Linked DNA regions of Caenorhabditis elegans. The protein of the gene in region 1 purifies or fractionates together with the protein of each later gene. This does not show direct contact. Each region holds a gene or a part of one and is shown in the gene's direction. Other genes may lie near its edges.

Region 1 (5,483 bases):
GCTGATGGAGTAAAATGCCTATTGTTTCCCCTAAATTATCGACCTCTGTTTCTTGTGGTCTCATTTACCAATTTTCGTTATCGTTAACAGTTTCCAACTACACGCAAAAAAATTTGACTGTATTATTTATTTTTCTTTTTTCATGAGTGTTTGGAAATAAAATTCGACAATTACCATGCAAATTGTTATTTATCTCACCTTTAACCCGAAAAAAGTCGTACAATGCGAGAACAGTTCGAAATACATATTCTGCATACGAGCCTCTTCGACGCCTGCCACCATCGCTCTTCCACACACTTCTCCTTGCTGACGTGCTTGTGTCCACAATTGTCTCTTAAAATATTTCAACTTTATTTAACACTCAATCTATGGTTATAAAACTTGTTGCCAAAGAGTTGATGGTTCTGTGGTAGTCAGTGCACAAACATCTCCACATGCAAAAACATTAGGAAGTGAGGTTTCGCAAGCGTCGTTGACTTTAATTCCACTATTTTCAGTGATTTGGAGCATTTTATTCATAGCCCAGACTTCTGAGTTGGCAGTTACACCTCCTGCCCAAATAAAAATATCTGGATTGAGCTGGTTATCTGCCTTAATAAAATAACTAGGCTTAATGGTACGATAACTTAAAATGATACCATCTTTTCTTTATCCATGTAATGTACCGACAAATTTTGGGACGTATCGGTGCTTGTTATAACACAATTACGCAAGATAGTCACCGATCGGTTTTCAGATTTTTCCGAAATTTTCTGAAAGTCTATTTGAGAACACCAGTCGGGACCCAACGCTGGTCCAGAAGGGTTGTTCATATTTTCAGAGACAGATTCAGAAGCAGCTACATGTTGAAGATGTTTTTGTTGTCCGTCATGCTTATTACCTGAAGTTTCAGATGAGCACGCAATACATGAAATCTCGAGAACGAACCATCTATCCGTCCCTTCAGCAATCGTTTTTCAATGAATTGTTCGATGTCTTCCGGAAAGAACGAAGCACAGATCCAAGGATCTTTGATCAGCCATGTCACGTCGAACGTTTTAAGCTCAAAGATCAATTCAGTAGCAATTCCCCCGTTTCCGACAATTAGAATATTTTTTGCATTTTTTAGTTTAGTCTTCAATTGAATCGCGCTCTGTGTATCTCGTAAGAACACTATCCTGCGATCAATTCCCAACTCTTTTTGGAATTTAGGACGAGATCCGGTAGCAATGCACAGTTTATCGTATTTCAGTTTCTCATTGTTTTGCAGATGAATTTCATTTTTTGAAGAATCCCACGTAACCACTGTGTCATTCAAGAATCGAATTCTACTATCTGGGAAGAGCTCGTGGCAATTTGTCTCTTTTACGTCAAATTTCTCTCCGTACTGCCCGATCTGAAAATTTCCATATAATTATTAAACTTAAATGTTTTCATCAACTTACTTTTTGATAGTTCTCCACAGACTTCACGAAACTTGACGCGGAGATTATAATTACTTCCAAGTTCGCTGATCTTTCTAACTGAAGCATTTGACTGGCGCACGAAACTCCAGCAATTCCACCACCAACAATTATATATTTCATGCTAAATATGTTCCAGTTAACTTGAAAACCAAGTTACCCTCAATTTATTCGCAGGATACGAATTACTCGAGAAATATATCGAGAACATTGTTCTCCGTGGAGCGGCCTTGCAAAACTGCGTGCGCGCATTGCAAATTTCAAAAGTAGCTCCGCCTCCTCACAAAATTCATTCGTTTTTGTAAACATCTATTTATTTTTTTAAATTTAAGTAACTTCTTTTTAATCATTCTTCTTTAATCTTTTTTTAAAATACCTTTTGCGCATTTGCGCACACCCGTTGCATTTCTTCTATCGGTATCTTCTCAGAACATGGTGTCTCTCCAAGTTTTTCATCTCTTGTTACTCTCCTAAACTTAACCTTGACAGGAAATTGTTACCTTCATCAACTTTCGATATTATTCTTTTGTTTTCAGAAATGTCAACTGCGGAGCAAAGAATGGACACCTCAGAGGTAGAACTCCCGAACGATAATGTAAACGAACAAGGAAATAAGGTTGGTTTCGTAAATCAACAATTTCGTCATATTTATTGATTTTCAGACACCACGAGCTGATCAGCCAGAGTCGAGTGCTTCGGGTGCTCGAAATCACGGAGAAGACGAAGAGGTTACCGAACAAGTTGAACTTGCTGCCATGGAAACTGAAGCATCAGACTCTATCGTCGACAATGTTCCCAAAACTCCCCGGAGAGCTGGACGCCCAAAAAAATTACCATCTACTTCTACTGCTGCCGCAGAGTCTGCTGTAACTCCAGGCAAAAGAGGTAGAAAACGTAAGGGTAGTGAATCAGTAAACACCACTATTAATAGTACGATGAACTCGACCCTTAATGAGCCTAAAACTCCAGGACGGAAACAAGGTTTGTTGGTTTTTCAAATATATTTTCTGAAACAACAACATAAAAATAATTTTTCAGCTAAGTTGGTTGCACCACTTCTAACTTATGACCTGTTCGCTCCTTCTATTATTGGCGATCGAGTTTTGTCGTGCGGAGAAGGAGAAGCTCTGGGTCACCCAGGAAGAACCACCACAAAAAAGCCACGGAAAGTTGATATTTTTGAAGAAGAAGGTTTAAAACCACTTCAAGCCGTCGCAGGAGGAGTTCACTCAGCAGTACTTACCTCTGAGGGTGAAGTTTATATGTGCGGTATCAACGAAAAGGGAACTGTTCCCGCGGAAGGTGTAGAGAAGGAAGGAAGTACCGACGAGTTTGCGAAAGTAAAGTTCGAGGAAGATATCGAGAAGGAAGGAAAGGTTTGTATGCTGTCTTATTATTGTTTCTATTCAAATATTATTTCAGATTGTAATGCTAGCCGCTGGAGCCTCGTTTACCGCTGCTCTCACTGATCAAGGATCTGTAATTGCCTGGGGAAATCTTCGCAACTCCAATGGAAACGTTGATGTTCATCCACTCCTTCATAAGATGCAAGAAGCGCCGGTGGTTATTGTCCACCAAGCTAAACGTAAAATTGTGAAGATCGCAGCTGGCGAGAACCATCTCGTGATGTTGGATGAGAAGGGCTGCCTTCTCACGTTCGGTGATGGAGAAATGGGACAGTTAGGACGCAGTAGTCGTACCAAAACTATTCGTTCAAGTGAGATTTTTCATAAGTTTGTTTGGTTTATGAATTAATGTTTCAAAATACATCACAGATTACTTTTATTTCAGAGTACATGTGCGATGAATCTGGTGATCATTTACTCGTGCCCCTCAGATTTAAGCATAAAGGAAAGTTCTTTGACGTTGTTGCTAAAAACGTGTTCGCCAGTGGATTTTGGACTATTGTCCACGGAGAAGACGGAAAATACTACGCCTTCGGACTCAATAACTATGCTCAACTCGGTATCAAAGTTGACGAAGCTGATGTCGGACAAGACGGACAGGACAACCGCGAGCTTCGGGTTTTTCTTCCAGCAGAAGCCCCAGCTTTTGGAGCAGAAAGAACATTCGTTAATATCGAAGGAGTCCAGCATGTCGTCATTCTCGGAAGTGATGGAAAAGTGTTTGCTATGGGAAAGAACACAGACAATGCTCTCGGCCTCGGTAATTGGACTGGAAAGGACGACCAACAGCATTGGTTGTACGATACAATCCAGGAAATAGAATTCGATTCGAAGATCGTTGGTGTTTCTGCCAAACTAGCCACTTCTATCGCCTGGTCTGAGGATGGAACCGCCTACGCTTGGGGTTTTGATACTACCGGACAACTTGGTCTCGGATTGAAAGACGAAGACGAGAAGGTAATTTTTCAAAACTCAAACTATCAATAAATAAAATATTCAATCTTATTTTCCAGATGGTGTCCAAGCCAGAGGAGATCAGCTCCGCCCATCTTGACGGTTATTCGATTATCGGGGCTTCGATTTCCGATCAGCACACTTTGATTATTGCCAAGAAAAATTAAATTATTTGGTTTTATTCTCAACTTTTATATCAGTTTTGTTTTGTCTCTGTAGCATTATTTTGTTATTTTTTCGTTTCCCGGTAGCCAATTCGATTGTTCTCCAGTAACATTCTCATCAATTTTTCTGTTTTTTTTATCATTTCATTTTTGTCAAGTAGCATCAGTCATGTAAGAAAGGGATAGAGTTCCCTTCTGTGAAAATGGAGAATTGTTGAAACGTCGTTGCACAACGACGTTTAAACACTTCACTCTATCCCTGGATTGATTTCCAACTTCTATGTTTTCTCAAAACCCCCTATTAGTTCTGCTATATATTGGAATCCAAAAATTTTTCATTTTTAGCCTGAGTTATGTTGTTCTCTTATCATGTGAACTCACTGTTTTATAATCCGTTTCACCATTTATGGTAAACGTTTCCTGGAAGGACAAATAAATCAATGGGTATCTGTGAAACAATGTACACTCTTGGTTTCGTTTTTTTTTTCAATTTTCAGAGAGCTTCTAATATTTGCTATTTACCCACTTATGTTGTTTCCTTTGCTCATTATACGAGTCGATTTGAATGCAAATAGGCTCCTAATCCACCTCCAATTTTCCCTTTATTTTTTGGAATTTTGAGCTACATCTCCAAAACTCCCTCATAGATATCTCAATTCTCTAGTACAACAACGGCTTTGAAAGCGAGTCTAATTGGGTGCCGGAAGGGACCGCCCTTCTCGGATCATGCTCGGAGCAAAAACCTCCAAAGATGAGTACACGTCGTCTTTTGACCCAGATTCTAAATATATATTCAAATTGTCTTCAGTATGAAAAATTGGATACATTTGCGTAACTTCAACACTTTATTATGCGAAATCTAATGGCTCATTGAATTATTGGTAGTTGTTTTGCAACCTTTATGCTATTATATAGGCATCTAAAGATGAGCATTTTTCGCCATAGCTTACATAAGTGCACGGGTTTTGACACGTGGACACCGAGTTACTGTAACTCAATATTGCACCATGTTTTATTAAGAAACCATGAGATCATGAGAATGCCTACTGTTTTTGGCGCGGGAATATCTCGTAGCGAAGGCACCTAATTCTCTCGTCGCCTCTTAAAATAAAAATTTAGTGCAGTAAATGCCTGTATGTTAGCTACCGTTTGACCTTTTTAAAATTTTCAGAATATGCTTGCTGGTACAAACTATTCTAATAAACAATAATTTCGAAAAAAAGCGACTAATTTCTTCTTGACTGAAAATTATCTGATATCTATCTAATTTCTTTGGTTGTTTTGACACAACTGACAACATTATAATAGTAGCTATAAAGAATCCAAAATCCTTTTCTCTTTTGTTATTGCAACAACTTGATTTGAAAATTTGTCTGATGACGTTGTCAGTCAGATTCTCATTAAGTTGGCTTCTGTGCTCGACTTTCAGGAAATTGAAATCTCATCTCTGTATTTCTTTGTTTGCACGTTTTGTTTTGGACCTTTGCTACCCTTTTCACTATTTTCTATCAATTTTC
Region 2 (5,552 bases), on another chromosome or scaffold:
TCCAACCTACATTCTCAATCATTTTCATTTTTCTTTCTTCCAAAATCTTTTTTCGTTTTCTTTCCGCTTCAATTTTCTTAGCTCCATTTTCATAGTCTACAAATTTTGTCTTCTTCAACGTCACCACCAAACATTTCATTCTTGCATCGTTCTTCACACACTTCTCCTTTTCCCAGCTTTTAATCACTGTTATCGCTTCGACTTTCAGCTCATTTCCATGTTTTTTCGAACCAGGGAGTGGGTTACGAATTGGGTTTGTTTCGAACATTAATTCGAGAAATTCCTAGAGAAATTTAATTTTTTAGTTTAATTTAAGCTTTCACAAAACTCACTGATGGATCATTGAGTAGATTTTCCCGAAATATTGGAAATTGTAAGAAGAAGCTATTGAACAGTTGCAGAATTAGTTTCCTATCGGGACATCCTGATCTCTTAAAATGTTTTAATTAATTAATTCTAATGTTAATCTTGAATCTTACGCTTGTAGTATCCAGCAATACTTCTATCACATTCTCGCAGCCTTCTTCGTCCTGATTTGCCACTTCTTTTTGCAAATTTTGATATGGTATTGATTCAAAGTCCAACTTTCCATCATCTGTCAGCTGAAAACTTTCGCATAATTTTGTTTTTTAGTTCCAAAACTCACTTCTCGTATGAATCGGTTCAAATTCTTCCTTATTATTGTTGTGGAGTTGTCAATTGAATCCATAAAACTGCAGTACTGAAAACAAAAACAAAAATAATGTTTTCTATCATAATCTTAAAGGCGCATGCAAAGAAAACCGTTCACAGGTCTCGAAGCGAAATAGGTGATACGGTTGTTTTTTTCAAATATTCCTCACTTTTGGTTGCCTTCTTTTCAACATTTTATTTGTTTCCCGATAAGTTTAGACGCCAATTTTTATTTCAAGGGAAATAATTTTATTTAGCGAAAATTATCAACATTTTTTCTTGCTTTGTTCTCAAGTTTGGCTTCATTTTTCTTCTGAAAATCACAAGAACGATGAAAACAACAGCGTATAAACATGAATTTAATTTCGCAATCAAATTATTTTCGAAATAATTCGTTAAGATGTACTTAAAAATTTAACAGCACATTTTATTTTTGTGAATATCTACTTTCGAAAAGTAAGTAAAATACATTTTACTCGTTGTTTCCGTTCTCACCAAACACAGAAATATCAGGTCCGCGAGTACCCAACAGCCGCGAAAGTTTTTGTCAAATGCGCTCCATCGTACTCTTTTGCGTCTGCGATGAATTCGAACAGGAAAGGCCGCGAGGAGACTTTCCCCGCGCGCGCCGGCGCGTGTCTTGTGATAAAAACTGGGATGGCCGCTGAGCATGAATCCGACGATTTCTCCCACTTCTTCCGTTTTTTGTCTCTCACACGTAAAATCTGCTTCACCGCTGTTTTTTTTCCGTTCTCATAGCAAATAATAGGTGTGTAGTGTGTCACGTGCGGCGATTTTGTTGCTTCTATTTTCATTCAATCTTTCTCATTTCGACATTTTCGACGCGCGTCTCGGCCAAAAATATTCAGAATGGTCCTTCCGTTTCTCAATTTCTTCTCCTGTCTTCATGTATCTGCAAACAAGTAAACATGCGAAAAAAAATCACATGACCCCTCCTCAATAGCTCCTACGCTTTGTTTTCAATGTTTTCCGAACGTAAAGAGAGGGCGCAAGTCATGCACATCACGTGACAAGACAAAGCGGGACGGGTGCACTCATCGAGGTGTCCTCAATCGATTTTTTACCGTTGCTTACAATAACATCGCGCGCTCTGTCCCAATTCAGCAAGGTCGCACACAATATTTTTCGCAGTGAGATTTGTTTGGCCGAACTTTTGCATTCAGCATTTCTCACTTCCTAGTCTTGAATAGATCCTTATCAATCCAGTAATTTCGAAACATTTGACTGTCAAAAGTGACGATGATGAAAGAAATATCTCTCGTCTTCTCCCATCTCCAATTTCCGTTTCTGAATTTATTTCTGTCAAACTTTAGGTCAATATTTTTTCCCTCTCTTGACATATATTTTCTACACCTTTTGGTTTGCAAATTTAAAAATAATTTTCTTATTTTCAGAACTGGGCTAGATCGATCGTCCCATCGTCAACAGTCGGTTGTGTGAGAGAGCGTGAGAGTGTGTGTGCGAGTGAAACGATATTTTGGCCTAATTTTCCAGCTTCACTGTGAGAAACACAGGATTTCTGCCCGAAAAGCGAGAGCCTGAACCCCGCCAGTTTTGTGTGTGCGTGAGTGTGTGAGACTGAACTGGAAACTACTGCCGATTTTTGCGAAATTTGATCGCTGGTAAGTTATTTTATATTTATAGTGTTGGTCAATAAATGCTATCAATTTCAGAAACCGACAATAAAAAAACATGGCTGTCTCAGCAATGGAAGTGCTCTCTGAAGCGAAGCGTCAATTCGCCCAAGGTGACCGTATCGATGTGACTCTTTTGGATCAAGTCGTCGAGATTATGAATCGAATGAGCGGAAAAGAACAGGCCGAGGCTAACCAAATCCTCATGTCGCTCAAGGAAGAACGCGATTCGTGGACCAAAGTCGATGCGATTCTTCAATATTCGCAGCTAAATGAGTCCAAGTATTTTGCACTTCAAATCCTTGAGACTGTCATCCAACACAAATGGAAGTCGTTGCCACAAGTCCAACGTGAAGGAATCAAGTCGTACATCATCACCAAAATGTTCGAATTGTCTTCTGATCAGAGTGTCATGGAACAAAGTCAACTGCTTCTTCACAAGTTGAACCTCGTTTTGGTTCAAATTGTCAAACAAGATTGGCCAAAGGCATGGCCAACATTCATCACCGATATTGTTGATTCATCGAAGAACAACGAGACCGTTTGCATCAACAATATGAATATTCTGAGCTTGTTGAGGTATTTTGAATTAGTTTTAAAATGTTTTGCTACATTTATTATATTTTTCAGCGAAGAAGTATTTGATTTCGGATCCCAAAACCTCACCCAAGCCAAGGAACAACATCTGAAACAACAATTCTGTGGACAGTTCCAAGAAGTATTCACACTGTGTGTCAGCATTCTCGAGAAATGTCCATCCAACTCTATGGTTCAAGCTACCTTGAAGACTCTTCAACGATTCCTCACCTGGATTCCAGTTGGCTACGTTTTCGAGACAAACATCACGGAATTGCTGTCTGAAAACTTCCTTTCGCTTGAAGTGTATCGTGTCATCGCTCTTCAATGTCTCACGGAAATTTCACAAATTCAAGTTGAAACCAACGATCCCAGCTACGACGAAAAGCTTGTCAAAATGTTCTGCTCTACAATGCGCCACATTAGCCAAGTTCTATCTTTGGACCTCGACCTGGCTGCTGTCTACAAAGATGCTTCCGATCAGGATCAGAAACTCATCAGTAGTCTGGCTCAATTTCTTGTCGCGTTCATCAAAGAGCACGTTCATCTGATTGAAGTAACTGATGAGCCATTAACTGAGGCTAAAATTTTAATGCGAGAATCTCACGACTATGCTATTCAACTTCTTTTGAAAATCACTTTGATCGAAGAAATGGAGGTTTTCAAAGTTTGCCTCGATTGTTGGTGCTGGTTGACTGCTGAGCTCTACCGTATATGTCCATTCATTCAGCCAAGTACTCTTTACGGAATGATGAGTCAGGTTCGTGAGCATCCACGTCGTCAACTCTACCGTGAATACCTCTCGCAACTTCGTTCAACAATGATTTCTCGAATGGCAAAGCCAGAAGAGGTGTTGATTGTGGAAAATGATCAAGGAGAAGTTGTTCGTGAAATGGTCAAAGATACTGATTCGATTGCTTTGTACCGTAACATGCGTGAAACGCTTGTCTATTTGACTCATCTTGACAACAAGGACACTGAAGTGAAGATGACTGAAAAGTTGGCATCACAAGTGAACGGAGGAGAGTTTTCGTGGAAGAATTTGAATCGTTTGTGCTGGGCTGTTGGTTCGATTTCTGGAACGATGGTTGAAGAAGACGAAAAGCGATTCCTTGTTCTTGTTATTCGTGATTTACTCGGGCTCTGTGAACAGAAACGTGGAAAGGACAATAAGGCAGTGATTGCGTCAAACATCATGTATGTTGTCGGACAGTACCCGAGATTCCTTCGAGCTCACTGGAAGTTCCTGAAGACGGTTATCAATAAGCTTTTCGAGTTCATGCACGAGACTCATGAAGGTGTACAGGACATGGCTTGTGATACATTCATCAAGATTTCCATAAAATGTAAGAGGCATTTCGTCATCGTCCAACCAGCTGAGAATAAGCCTTTCGTCGAAGAGATGCTCGAAAATTTGACTGGAATCATCTGCGATCTTTCTCATGCACAAGTTCACGTATTCTACGAGGCTGTTGGACACATCATTTCTGCGCAGATAGATGGAAATCTGCAAGAAGACCTGATCATGAAGCTTATGGATATCCCAAATCGCACATGGAACGACATCATTGCAGCAGCATCCACTAACGACAGTGTGCTCGAAGAGCCGGAGGTAATTTATTTTAAGGGGTTGGCTTTTATATTTATTCAAATTTCAGATGGTCAAATCTGTCCTGAATATACTAAAAACAAATGTGGCCGCCTGCAAATCCATTGGATCTTCGTTTGTAACCCAACTCGGAAATATCTACAGTGATCTTCTATCCCTCTACAAGTGAGAATTAAAAAAAAAAGAAGTTCTGTTAGTAAACCTAATTTTTTTAGAATTCTATCCGAGAAGGTGTCCCGAGCAGTGACAACCGCCGGCGAAGAGGCTTTGAAGAATCCATTGGTAAAGACGATGCGAGCTGTGAAGCGAGAGATTCTCATCCTTCTATCGACATTCATTTCAAAGAACGGAGATGCCAAGCTCATTCTGGACAGTATAGTTCCACCATTGTTCGATGCGGTTCTCTTCGATTACCAGAAGAATGTGCCACAGGCGAGAGAGCCGAAAGTGTTGTCTTTGCTCAGCATTCTGGTCACACAACTTGGAGTCAGTTATCTTTTGAAATTTTGAAAAAATTAAAATAAAATAAAAATAATTTAGGGCTTGAAGAAAAATTTTCAAATTCGTCTCAACTCTTAACTTTTAAATTTCGAAAATTTCTCAAAAATTATAACTTTATCAAATTATTTTTCAGTCTCTCCTCTGTCCACAAGTGCCGAGCATCCTCAGTGCGGTTTTCCAATGCAGCATTGACATGATCAACAAGGATATGGAAGCGTTCCCCGAGCATCGAACCAACTTCTTCGAGCTGGTGCTTTCTTTGGTTCAAGAGTGCTTCCCGGTTTTCATGGAAATGCCTCCAGAGGATCTTGGAACAGTCATCGACGCCGTCGTTTGGGCATTCCAACACACAATGCGCAATGTTGCGGAAATTGGTTAGTTCGAAAGCATTTATTTATTAAAATTGACAAAAAATAGTTTACTAAATTATTAGGTAGATTTGTTCAATGGAACGTATTTAATTACTCCAGCAAATCGATCGTATCCTCCAATTGGTTCCAGCTCTGTTTTGTAGGCTCCACAAGCCTTTTTGAAATTGT

What was found. Proteins that work in one complex are often made in the same cells at the same time.
Region 2: the proteins of ran-3 (region 1) and xpo-1 fractionate together in Caenorhabditis elegans (co-fractionation; one large-scale study listed by BioGRID). This does not show direct contact.

What each region holds. Positions count from the first base shown.
Region 1 is NC_003280.10:8,321,548-8,327,030, reverse strand, and holds ran-3 (Regulator of chromosome condensation), read left to right. Parts: upstream 1-1,978; 5' UTR 1,979-1,980; coding exon 1,981-2,058; intron 2,059-2,104; coding exon 2,105-2,423; intron 2,424-2,480; coding exon 2,481-2,818; intron 2,819-2,864; coding exon 2,865-3,159; intron 3,160-3,233; coding exon 3,234-3,805; intron 3,806-3,861; coding exon 3,862-3,969; 3' UTR 3,970-4,419; downstream 4,420-5,483. Other genes in the region: C26D10.3 (Pyridine nucleotide-disulfide oxidoreductase domain-containing protein 1), read right to left, coding at 199-333, 382-591, 639-880, 928-1,375, 1,425-1,565.
Region 2 is NC_003283.11:7,802,977-7,808,528, forward strand, and holds the start of xpo-1 (Importin N-terminal domain-containing protein), read left to right. Parts: upstream 1-2,087; 5' UTR 2,088-2,315; intron 2,316-2,366; 5' UTR 2,367-2,385; coding exon 2,386-2,906; intron 2,907-2,957; coding exon 2,958-4,515; intron 4,516-4,561; coding exon 4,562-4,677; intron 4,678-4,727; coding exon 4,728-4,998; intron 4,999-5,146; coding exon 5,147-5,387; intron 5,388-5,390; exon of another isoform or gene 5,391-5,442; coding exon of another isoform or gene 5,443-5,552. Other genes in the region: uvs-1 (UV-stimulated scaffold protein A homolog), read right to left, coding at 11-283, 333-431, 480-602, 647-709; ZK742.3 (NADH:flavin oxidoreductase/NADH oxidase N-terminal domain-containing protein), read right to left, coding at 5,443-5,552.